Linked DNA regions of Callithrix jacchus. The protein of the gene in region 1 interacts with the protein of each later gene in a pairwise test. Links are inferred from orthologs where the notes say so. Each region holds a gene or a part of one and is shown in the gene's direction. Other genes may lie near its edges. The genes, in order: NEFL, KIFC3 and SKIL.

Region 1 (3,274 bases):
GATCTGCCTATGGCGGTTTACAGACCAGCTCCTATCTGATGTCCGCCCGCTCCTTCCCGTCCTACTACACCAGCCATGTCCAAGAGGAACAGATCGAAGTGGAGGAAACCATTGAGGCTGCTAAGGCTGAGGAAGCCAAGGATGAGCCTCCCTCTGAAGGAGAAGCCGAGGAGGAGGAGAAGGACAAGGAGGAGGCTGAGGAAGAGGAGGCAGCCGAAGAGGAAGAAGGTATGATAAGAAACAAACCCCTGCAACTTCAAGTGCAAACTGGGTGTGGATATTTGTTAGGTGGTGGATAAGACAAATGAAGCCTTGCTTATTTATTCATATATGATTTTAGAAGCATAAATAATTTTTCTGCTTGTTCAACAAACCTTTTCTAAGCACCTACTCTGAATGAGGTCAAAATGGACCTCATTGGTCAATTGGTCAAAAATTTCATTTTTAAATACATTCATTTAACATAACAGGTCGGTGTCCTAAGGAATAAAAATAGATACCAGACACCTAAAAAAAATAGTGAGGTTAAATCTTTGGGAGGAGCAGAGCTTTCCATGCCTAGAAGTGGTCTCATTCCATTTAAATATGTGTTCAGTGGCAAATTATTCATGGCAAGCGTTGTTTGTTACATGTGCTTTTGGAGAGAATGGAGCTGGGAGGTTGTGGTGAGCACTCTGACGGTTTCATCTGCATTCACAGATAAAACCTTAACAGCCATGTTTTGACTGGCCTTACCTTGGATTTGGATTTTGTACACTTTCTTTTTATGTTCAAGCTGCCAAGGAGGAGTCTGAAGAAGCAAAGGAAGAAGAAGGAGGTGAAGTTGAAGAAGGAGAGGAAACCAAAGAAGCTGAAGAGGAGGAGAAGAAAGTTGAAGGTGCTGGGGAGGAGCAAGCAACTAAGAAGAAAGATTGAACCCCCATTTCCTTAATTATGTCAGGAACAATTCTCCCGAAATCAGGTCAACCCCATCACCAACCGACCAACCAGTTGAGTTCCAGATCCTGTGTGAATTAAAAAGTCAATATATGTATAATTCTGAGATGACTTAGGTTGGACATTCAATGTTGTGCTCTGAATTTCCTCTTTATGCAGAGTATCTGTTTGCTTGCAGAGTGGCTTTCTGGCTTGCTGCCAGCCTGTGCATGGTCCACGCTTATGAGTTCAGGAACTATGGCAATGTGAATGATTCAGATGTTTACAATAAAAAACACCACATGAGTAAATGAATTCACTAATGTTAATGTTAAACTTCATGGAAAAATAGTCCTTTGAACCTTTGGTGGTTAGCAGTTCAAGACCTTGAGTTATGTGCAATAAATAGTAAATAAAGTTATACCTAATGATGTATTTTTTGCTCTGGTTGTTAATCAAAATACCTTAAAGTTGGCACTGGTGTAAAGTATATACCAGTGGACTATTGACCTCCATAAGAACTCCAAGTTTTAACAATTACCAAGACTTTTCTTTTTGTTCCCTCATTGGAAATTCCGAGGGATACAGTTAGGTCATAACTATTCATGAAATCTCTCCCCTCAAAAATGTTACTGATAATAAACATGAGTAAATGAGAATGTCTATAAAAACAATAGACTTTGCCCCATAGCATATACTGTGTTAGGTTTTGGGATGGCTTTCTAGGGAGCGATTCTGAAAATATTTGACAGATATACTCGTTATGGTAAATAGGTCATTTCAGAGTCCAGAGTGCTAGCCATTATACCATGGAACCACAATAAATAGGTCATTTCAAACTGTTATGTCATAATGCAATATGGTTAGAATATGAATCCCATATATTCATCCCTGTAACTGTATTTTAAAATATAGTCTAAATATCATGGGCAGAGGTTAAAACCTGAGAACGTGGTACCATCAGAAGGAATGACTTATCTATATATAATTTCAGGAGAAGGGACTATCAAAGGTTATTTGTCACTCCACTGCAAACATATTGCCTGCAATTCTGAGCTCATGATTTAGTGTGTTGTTAAGCGTAATTCTGTTGCCTCAAGTAAATAGCATTTAATCTCACACAATTTCAAACCTTAAAAAACTACAGATACAGGTAATGAAATTATGAATCACTTAAGGGGGGAGGTAATATGCTTGTATGTTACATTGACATTGCTCTGCATGTGTCTTGGAAGATATTTGGATTTCACTGATAGCTTGACTGGTTGGACATATTATCAGATACACACCTCATATGTCCTCTCTGTTTATCGAAAAGTTATGAACGCTCTTGCACTTGCATTTGATGTGGAATAAATATATAGATATTATTGACTATCTGCTGTTCTGCCTTTATTCTGAAACAATTGCTTTGTCAGCTAATTTCATTCAATATTTGTTTTTTAGACAATCTTTATAAGTTATGGATTTAAACTGAAACCAAAGTGGTCTCCATTTAAAGTTACTTAATCCCTTTGTACCAACTATATCTAGTTAAATATATGTCACTATGGAAATAGGTAAGCTGTTTCTTTGCCATGATGGTATGGACTGGAATTATGAAAACTCTCAATGTATTGGCTCCTGTGAAGGGGAGACAACTCCTCAGAAACCAAGCTTTTCACATTTATGCTTAGTAGACATGGGATGATGTACATGGCAAGTCTCAAACAGATGCAAGCTACATGCAAAAAGTAACTTTAGCCAAATGAAAATCGCTGGATGCTCTGAGAACTCCTTGGTGGAAGTAAGAACACTGTACCATTCTCTACCCTGTGTGCCATAATAAAATACCAGAAAACCTAAATTGAATTTGAAGTCTTTTTTAACATTTCCCCAAATTTTGTGCTGTGGTCATTGCCCCTTTTCCCTCTGCTCCCCCTAAATTTGTGGTTCTCTTTCAGTATCTCCTCTCCTAGTGAATGATCCCCTCTCCCTAATCATCTGATTCTATTAAACAGACACCTTGAATGACAGCCTACCTCCCATTGCCTCTCCTCTGCCCCTCTAGAATAACCTATCACCAAGTTATAGTGATAACGCCTCCACATTTTAAATCCTTCCAATCCTTTCAATTTATACCGCCACCACTCTAACCTTCTCCCAGGGCCTCCTCTTGGTCTCCCTCATCCCCCTGAATGAAACCCTCTAATAGCTTCCTGCTTTTAGTATGAAAACCGAAATCTCAAATGTGATCTTCAAGGCCTGCATAGTGCTGACCCCTATCTACTTCTCTAACCTTATTTCATTGTACAGCCTTTCCCTCCACTTCAGGTACTCCAGCCACCCTGGTATTCTGTTCTCCCATCTGTCACAGGAT
Region 2 (3,645 bases), on another chromosome or scaffold:
AGGGGGTGTGTGCAGCGCCCCCTGGGCTCCCAGGTCTGTTTTGGAGTTGCTTAGTGTTGAGGTGACCCCTGGGAACATCAGAGCTTCTGTCCTCAAGCATATCTGCTGAGGCCTGAAGTGTACCAGGCACTGTGCCAGGCATGGCTGTGACCCAAACAGTCCCTGGCCCCACAGGACCAACCTGGCTATGGGGAGACAGCAGGGTCCACACAAATCAGTGAGTGTCCCGTCAGGCCATGGAGAAAAATAAAACCAGGGATGTGGAACTGACAAGGGGAAGGGACGGGGTGTTTGGGGGTGCTGGACGAAGGAACAGCCTCCCTGAGGGGGCATCTTGGGAGCAGCCTCCCTGAGGGAGATGACTGAGCTGGCCGAGGGGCAAACAGGAGCACCTGGGGCAGAGGGAGCTGCAGGGCCAAGGCCAAGAGGCCAGAGCACACCAGCCGCACCTGAGGCTTGGCCAGGAGGCCCCTGCGGCAGGAATAGAGAGAGGGTGGGAGGTGCTGTCGGAGGAGGGGCGAGGGTCCAACTCCCAGGGCCTTGAGGGCCCAGGTGGGGACTCCAGGTTTCCTTCTAGAAAGGCCAGCCCACCCCTCCTGCCCCAGGACCCTGTCCTGCTCCACCTGTGCCTCCTTTCCATCACCCACAGAACCCAGGTCACAGCCTCCCTGAGACTCAGCCCCTTTCTGGGCAGAGGCGGGATCATTCATTTCTAGTGCCCCTTCTAGGTGGCCCTGCAGGGCCAGGCATGCACCTGTCCCTCAGCTGTCTGTGTGGTCTGGCCAGGTCCCTCACCCCAGCGCTGTACCCTAAGTCTCAGGGCAGTCCTGGCAGGGTGATGCCATTTTAATGTCGGGGAAATAGAGGCACAATAGCCTGCAGCTGGCAGAGGGCATTTTGGGGGGCACTGGCTTGTAGGTAGGAGGTTTGGGCAAGGAGACTTGCCTGTGAGGGATAGCCAAAGGGCTTGGGGGACAGATGCCACACAAGCATCTTTGGGGACAGGCCTGGCTCACTGGGGCCTTTCCTTCTGCCCCCAGGGGACCCCAGAGAACCCAGGTATCAACCAGCGGGCCCTGCAGCTGCTCTTCTCCGAGGTGCAGGAGAAGGCATCCGACTGGGAGTACACCATCACTGTCAGCGCCGCCGAGATCTACAACGAGGTCCTCAGGTAGGAGCCCCAGTGTGAGGGGAGTAGGCCTCAGGGGCAGCTTTGGGGTCCTCAGGTGGGGTGGTGCTGGAGTAACGGGAGATAGGAAGTGGGGTCTTCCTGAAGGGAGTGCAGGGACCAGATGAGGCTGCCAAGGGACCTAGCTGCAAGTTGTGACTCTCCTCCCTGTGGGCTGCAGCAGGTGGCCATGGGTGGGAGTGGGCAGCTGCAGGCCCTGCCCGCAGGGGCTCATTGCATTTCGGAGGCAGGAGTAGCGCCATCCACAGGCCTTCTGGGCAACAGTGAGGTCTCCACATGTTCAGCTGAGTTATGGGGGAGGAGCTGGAGGATATGCGCTTAGCTGATGGCTGAAGAAGGCTTTGTAGGTTGGGGGAACACTCCTGACTGGGGCTCTGGGTGCAGTACAAGCAGCAGCCAGAAATGGGAGGAGGGGGTGACTGTCTCACCTGCCCCTCCAGGGACCTGCTGGGGAAAGAGCCTCAGGAAAAACTGGAGATCCGGCTGTGCCCAGACGGCAGTGGGCAGCTGTATGTGCCAGGGCTGACTGAGTTCCAGGTGCAGAGCGTGGACGACATCAACAAGGTGTGGAGGAGCGGGCCCCTGGCCACAGCCACGCTGCTCTAGAGGGAAGACCTGGATTTGAATGTAGGCTCTGCTGTGTCCTAAGCATGCACCCTCGGGCAAGTGCCCATGCCCCTCTGAGCCTGTTTCCTCGTCTAAACTGCGGGGGTGGGGGTGTCACTCCTCTGGGGTGCTCGGGGCCAGGTGACTGAGGACCACATTCTCAGCGCCGTGCCTCACCCTCCCACTCCCCATCCCCCAGGTGTTTGAGTTTGGCCACACCAACCGCACAACGGAGTTCACCAACCTGAATGAGCACAGCTCCCGCTCGCACGCGCTGCTCATCGTGACGGTGCGAGGCGTGGACTGCAGCACAGGCCTCCGTACCACGGGTGAGGGGGCGGGCAGCCTGGCCTGAGGAGCCCCATGCCCCCAGGGACAGGGCAGGTCTGATCTGCTTGGTGCCTTCCCTGCAGGGAAGTTGAACCTAGTGGACTTGGCTGGGTCCGAGCGTGTGGGCAAGTCCGGAGCCGAAGGCAGCCGTCTGCGGGAGGCGCAGCACATCAACAAGTCACTGTCAGCTCTGGGGGACGTCATTGCTGCCCTGCGCTCCCGCCAGGGCCATGTGCCCTTCCGCAACTCCAAGCTCACTTACCTGCTGCAGGATTCGCTTAGTGGTGACAGCAAGACCCTCATGGTGGTACAGGTGAGGGCCTTGGGTTAGAAGGGAGCAGTCCCTGGCGTGTAGGTACTTAGCTAGCAGCAAGACCCAGGCACCCCAGGCTGTGAAGGACCCTTGTCTCAGCAGCTCCAGAGTCAGCAACAGCCCCCCTGCCCCAGACCTGGCCACACACACCTGGTGTAACTCCCAGTCCCTCCTCTCCACCTTTGACCACGCCACCTCTGCCACCTTGCCTGCCCTCCTACCCTGTCCCTCGGTCCTCTCCAGGAGGCCTTCTGACGTCTCCAGCTGTGAGCTCCCTTGTGACCCTGCTGCCCCTCCAGCTGGCCCAGGTGGGCAGTGAGCTCTTGTGTCCTCTAGGTGTCCCCAGTGGAGAAGAACACCAGTGAGACACTCTATTCCCTCAAGTTTGCTGAGCGGGTGCGCTCTGTGGAGCTGGGGCCCGGGCTACGCAGGGCAGAGCTTGGGTCCTGGTCAAGCCAGGAGCATCTAGAGGTACGGGGACTGCCAGAGACCTGGCTCAGGTAGCCCTGGGTCAGAGACTTTGGATCATGGCAGGAGCAGGGAGCTGGGCGGAAACATCCCAGAGCAGCAGGGTGGGGCGGGGTGAAGCTGCCGGAGGTGGGTGGAGCTACAGCTGGAACCCACAGCCAGAAGCCTCTTCAGTGCAGGTATTTATTCTTGGCCTCCAGGGCTCCTGTGGGGTGACCAGCTGGCCATGGGCGTGGCACTAGGTGCTAAGTGGTAACTAGTTGACTTCTTTACATGTACTATCTCATTTAATTCTTGACATAACATGAGGCTGGGGCACGAGCATCCTGCCCATTTTGCAGATGAGGAAGCTGAGTGTTCGGAGGTTAGGAGGCAGGGCAGGGGAGGAGAGAGCAGCACAGCGGGGTGCGGGCCAGGGCAGCTGTGGCCCCCACCTACCCTCCCTTCCCTGTCCACAGTGGGAGCCGGCTAGTCAGATACCACAGCCCTCGGCACGGGCCCACTCAGCCCCCAGCTCCGGGACCAGTAGCCGCCCTGGCTCCATCCGGAGGAAGCTGCAGCCCTCGGGTGAGTCTGGAGGGAGTAGCAGGGTGGGAGGGGGAGTCTCCCCCAGGATTATAGTCACCAGGCTGCCTTTACCTGATGGGCTTTTTTTTTCCTTTCCTTTTAAAAAAGTTCTATGACTTTTCCAGAATCTGTTTTGCAACCTCCTGTGCCCCCTGGGAGGAGTCAGGGCGGA
Region 3 (4,402 bases), on another chromosome or scaffold:
GGGGTAGAGAGGGAGCACGACCTGGGAGCTCGGTGGAGGGGGCCTAAGGAAGGGAACTTGGGTGGGGGTGCGGGGAGCGGTAGGGCTTGAGAGGCTTGTGAGCCTTTGGGAGGCCTGTTGTAAAAAAAGGAAAAAAAAAAAAATCTACGAGCACAAGAGTATTTCCAGCCAGCGACTCCAAACGTGGGCCCCCATAGGAACGACCTGAAGCAGTAAAACCCAGAAGAAATTGGACGAAAATGGGGGAAAAAAGGGGACAAAGCCCGAGTCTCCTCAATTTTGTGCACTGCTACTCGGTGGACTATTTCGGTTCCAGATCTTGTGGTGGGGTGGAGAAAAGGGGATTTCTTGGTGTTTCGAAATGTGACGGAGCAGCTCTGCAGAGTTCAATATGCTAACCGGCAACCCTGGGAACCAGGAAGACCACCCTACAAGCCGCAGAGGGTCGCTGCCGGAAAGCTCTTAAGTCCTATCTTTCCCACCTCGTCTTGCCCTTCTTTAAAAAAAAAAAAAAAAAAACCCTCAGTAAACACTGTAGAAACCTGTAATTTATAGCTCCCCTCTGGAACCGAGAGAGCAGCCTGGTGGGCTGGGGGCAGGAGCCTGGGGAGCAGAGACAGAAATGTTTGCTCACGGTTGTGCCGGAACTTTGGCCACCCCTCCCGCCCGACCCGATGGCGGATGGAGGTCAGCCAGGGGAAGGCGTCTGGGTGGAGGCCGCCCTGGCGAGGCTGGGGCCGCCGGGACGGGGCGGAGCTCTGGCAGCTGGCTGGGCGGCCCTCGGGCCTGAGGCCCCGCGGGGGCGAGGGGCAGCCCAGGAGGGAGGTCCCGCGGGGGCGGGGAGTGGAGCCGGCCCCGGGGGCCCTGCAGGGCGGTCGCCGCCCGGCTGCCTCCGGGGCGGGGCGGCCCAGCTGCGGCCCCGCGGGGGGAGGGTCGCCCGTGCCTGACCTCGGGCGGCGGCGCTCTGCCGGGCGGGCACTGCCTCCGCCCTGCGGGCTGCTGGGGTCGCGCACAGTGCACGGCGCGGCTGCCCTGCCCCCTCTTCCCCGCCGCGCGGCGGCCGAGCGTCCAGGGCGCCCCAGGGTCTGGCCCTTCACCACAGAGCGGCGGGTGGGGCGGGGCCGGGGCGGAGGCCCCAGACAGCCGGCTGGGCGACTAGAGGAAGGAAGGAGGGAGGGCGGCGGTGAGGGTGGAGTGGGGAGGGAACATCCTGTCTGCGCTGGGTGCACCGCAGACAGCGCCGCGCGCCAGCCGCCCAGACGGCGCGCGGGGCCAGGAGCGCCGGGCGCGCGCGCCTGGGGGAGGGACGCGCGCGCGGGACGACCTGGCCAGGGGTCGGGGGCGCTCTGAGGAGCCACAATAGGCCAGACGGCGCGCGCGTTTCCGAGAGATCTGGGAGCCGCGAAGTGGCGGCCCCGGCGACGCCGGCGAGCCCGCGCGCGCGGCACCGCCGCTGGCTCTGTTCCCTTCCCCTCCCCCTCCCCGCCGCCCTCGCTCTCCCCCGGGCGGCCGGAGACGGCGGCGGCGTCTGCGGGAAGCCGTGTGTCTCCGCAGTGACGTGGGCGGGCCGAGGGCTGGTGACGTCAGAGGGCTGTGTGTAGCGATGTGTGTGGGGTTCGGAGCGGCGCCGGCACAGCCGAAGGGAGAGGGCGAGCGGCGACGGCGGCGGCGGGCACAGGTGCGGCTCCGGCTCGTGGGTGCGCGGGGGGGGGACGCGGCGGAGGCGGCTGGAGGCCAGAGGCGCTCAGCCTCCGGGGAGCCCGACGGCGGCGACAGGGGCGGTGGGGAGTTCACAAAGCTCGTCGAGCTTCCCCAGTCGCCGAGGCCCGAGTAGGGGCTTTGGATGCGCGGGTCCCGGGTGGGGTCGGAGCCAGAGGGAGTCGCAAGGCGCGTGTCCCACGAGGGATTACGCCTCGTTGGCTCCAGGCGGTGGGCGCAGGCAGGGCTGGGCGCTGCACTTGACGGGAGCCGCGGGGACCCGGGAGACCCGGGAGACCCGGACGCCCGTCACCACCCCCCTCCCACCGTCCAGCAGCGCTCCACGGGGATGCCTTGGGCTCGACCCTGCCCGTCAGCCCCCGGCGGCGCGGGGATGTTCGCTCGGCGACTGAACTGCCCCGGTGCCCTCTTCGTTCTGGCCCGGAGCTGGCAGGGCGGGGGAGGTGCAGCATTAGGGGCGCTGGGGTGACACCCGAGAAGTTCCCGGGGAGAGGGTGCGAGTGGGGGGGATTTCCACAGTCCTTCCCGCGGCTCCCGCGGGGGGGCAGTGTTGGGAGGGCACTTGAGGTTATCCCAGGCTCGCTGATGGGGGTGGGGGGACTCCTCCCTTTACTTTCCTCCACCCCCTTGCACACCCACTCCCAGGCTTCCCGTGTCCCTTGTTCTTCCTCCTCTTCGGGTTAGAGATAGGTGAGTGGCTTTGAGTGGGCGGAGGACTTCAGGGTTTTGGGGGCTCCCCCATTCTAGGTCATGCCTCTTGCCCTCTTCCTTGGCCTGTGTTAAGTGAGATGTGTTCCTGTGGTGGACAAAAGTCCGTACGATGGCTGGTAGCATTGGTCCTTACTCCTTTGGGTCTGTTTTATGGTAAATTGCTGACAGTTAGGGAAGCAAAAATTTCTATTTATTGGATTTCTTTTGGGGTTTCTCTCACGAAGGAAGTGGAAGAAGAGTCTTTTCTTTTCCCCCTCTTCCTCCATTTGCATTCTTTGTGAGGTTTGTCTGCCTTGTGCTTTTTGTCCCGGATTAGTCTTGTTCAAGGATGGAGATTCCCAGGCATGGAGTCTATAAGCTTTTGGCTTCCATTAAGTAAAATCGCTAACCTTTTAAAAGAGACAGTTAATTTTTGCCTACAGTCATTCCAGAAAAATGGTATACACGGACCAGCTGAATTAATCCACTTAAAATTGTAACTTAGTTACATATGGTAGATATATGTTAACTCCTATTTGATTTTTTTTGGATGAAACTGTTTTTTTTTAAATAGGAGATGAAGTAATGTATTTTTTCCCCCTTAAAATGGCATACATAACTGAAAAAGCCTCTGGTACTGATGGAGATGATCTGTTTAAGATTCTTCATATTCTGAACTCAAATGGCCTTTTGTGTTACATTATTGCTCCCTTTACCCAACTCCAAATTGCTTTCCTATTTAAGTGAATGTTCTAATAAACTGGTGTTAGATTTAAAGAAATCACTCAAGCGTCACCTTTGGTAAAGTGAACTCAGTTTAATATTAAGAAACTGGTTTCGGCCTGGTGCGGTGGCTCACGCCTGTAATCCCAGCACTTTGGGAGGCTGAGGCAGGTGGATCGCTTGAGGCCAGGAGTTCGAGACCAGCCTGACCAATATGATGAAACCCTGTCTCTACTAAAAATACAAAAAAATTAGCTGCGCGTTGTGGCGTGCGTCGGCAGTCCTAGCTACTCGGGAGGCTGAGACAGGAGAATTGCTTGAACCCGGGAGGCGGAGGTTGCAGTGAGCGGAGGTTGTGCCATTGTACTCCAGCCTGGGCAACAGAGCGAGACTCTTAAGAAGGAAAGAAAGGAAACTGGTTTTCTTTGGCCTCTGGAGCAAATTCAAATGTAACTATTCCCCACCCCCTTCTCTTGCAGATTAATTAAAAGAAGAATGAACTGTAATCTTTGAAGATAATTGGGCAATTTTTTGTTAAGTATCATTGTTGATTGTAGAAGTTCAAGAAGGCAGAGGCTGTTTTTCCTGGTGTGAGGATTTACACGTCTTCAGTTTTTCAGCACGGACACCAGCAGACCATCGTTTTTAGAGGAAATACTCCCTCTGCCCTCCTTTTTGGTTTCCTTAGTGGTAAAGATTAAATTGGGTTGCATCATTTTGACTTGTGTTTGAGTCTAGATTTTATGGCCCAAGGAATGACAGAAACTTTTCATGTGTTTGTTTATAACAAAGGAAACCAAACCATTGCGTTGATCCTGGACATCTTGAATTGAGAAATTGGTAACTTTATTTTGATACGTATTTCTGAAGAATTCAAGAAAACAAAGCATTCTCAGAGGTGTGCTTCTATTCTTTATTATTGGAGGCAAAACGAACAATTTCATAGGCTTTGTAGTGGAATTATGCCAGATTATAAGGAGAACCAAAACTAAGTATTGAGTAATTTAAGGGGATCTCTCTTTAGAAAGTTTTTGTGAAAGTAAGTTATCATAAGTATTTGTATATTCATTACTTTCCCCTTTTCAAATAAGTAATTAAATAGAAATGCAAATCTCAGACTTAATTGTTTAACAGAGTAGTGTAGCAATGGAAAACCTCCAGACAAATTTCTCCTTGGTTCAGGGTTCAACTAAAAAACTGAATGGGATGGGAGATGATGGCAGCCCCCCAGAGAAAAAAATGATGACAGACATTCATGCAAATGGAAAAA

Evidence for each region.
Region 2: the proteins of NEFL (region 1) and KIFC3 interact in binary tests that used the Homo sapiens proteins (3 or more experiments, as listed by UniProt). The two-hybrid records come from large-scale screens. The link is inferred for Callithrix jacchus from reciprocal best matches to the Homo sapiens genes NEFL and KIFC3.
Region 3: the proteins of NEFL (region 1) and SKIL interact in binary tests that used the Homo sapiens proteins (3 or more experiments, as listed by UniProt). The link is inferred for Callithrix jacchus from reciprocal best matches to the Homo sapiens genes NEFL and SKIL.

The regions. Positions count from the first base shown.
Region 1 is NC_133514.1:16,533,889-16,537,162, forward strand, and holds the end of NEFL (neurofilament light polypeptide), read left to right. Parts: coding exon 1-228; intron 229-775; coding exon 776-915; 3' UTR 916-2,761; downstream 2,762-3,274. UniProt on the Homo sapiens protein: Neurofilaments usually contain three intermediate filament proteins: NEFL, NEFM, and NEFH which are involved in the maintenance of neuronal caliber.
Region 2 is NC_133521.1:15,646,566-15,650,210, reverse strand, and holds part of KIFC3 (kinesin-like protein KIFC3), read left to right. Parts: intron 1-1,040; coding exon 1,041-1,171; intron 1,172-1,629; coding exon 1,630-1,753; intron 1,754-1,994; coding exon 1,995-2,124; intron 2,125-2,208; coding exon 2,209-2,438; intron 2,439-2,774; coding exon 2,775-2,909; intron 2,910-3,364; coding exon 3,365-3,473; coding exon of another isoform or gene 3,474-3,589; exon of another isoform or gene 3,590-3,645. UniProt on the Homo sapiens protein: Minus-end microtubule-dependent motor protein. Involved in apically targeted transport. Required for zonula adherens maintenance.
Region 3 is NC_133518.1:16,692,234-16,696,635, reverse strand, and holds the start of SKIL (ski-like protein), read left to right. Parts: upstream 1-1,585; 5' UTR 1,586-1,678; intron 1,679-3,611; 5' UTR 3,612-4,278; coding exon 4,279-4,402. UniProt on the Homo sapiens protein: May have regulatory role in cell division or differentiation in response to extracellular signals.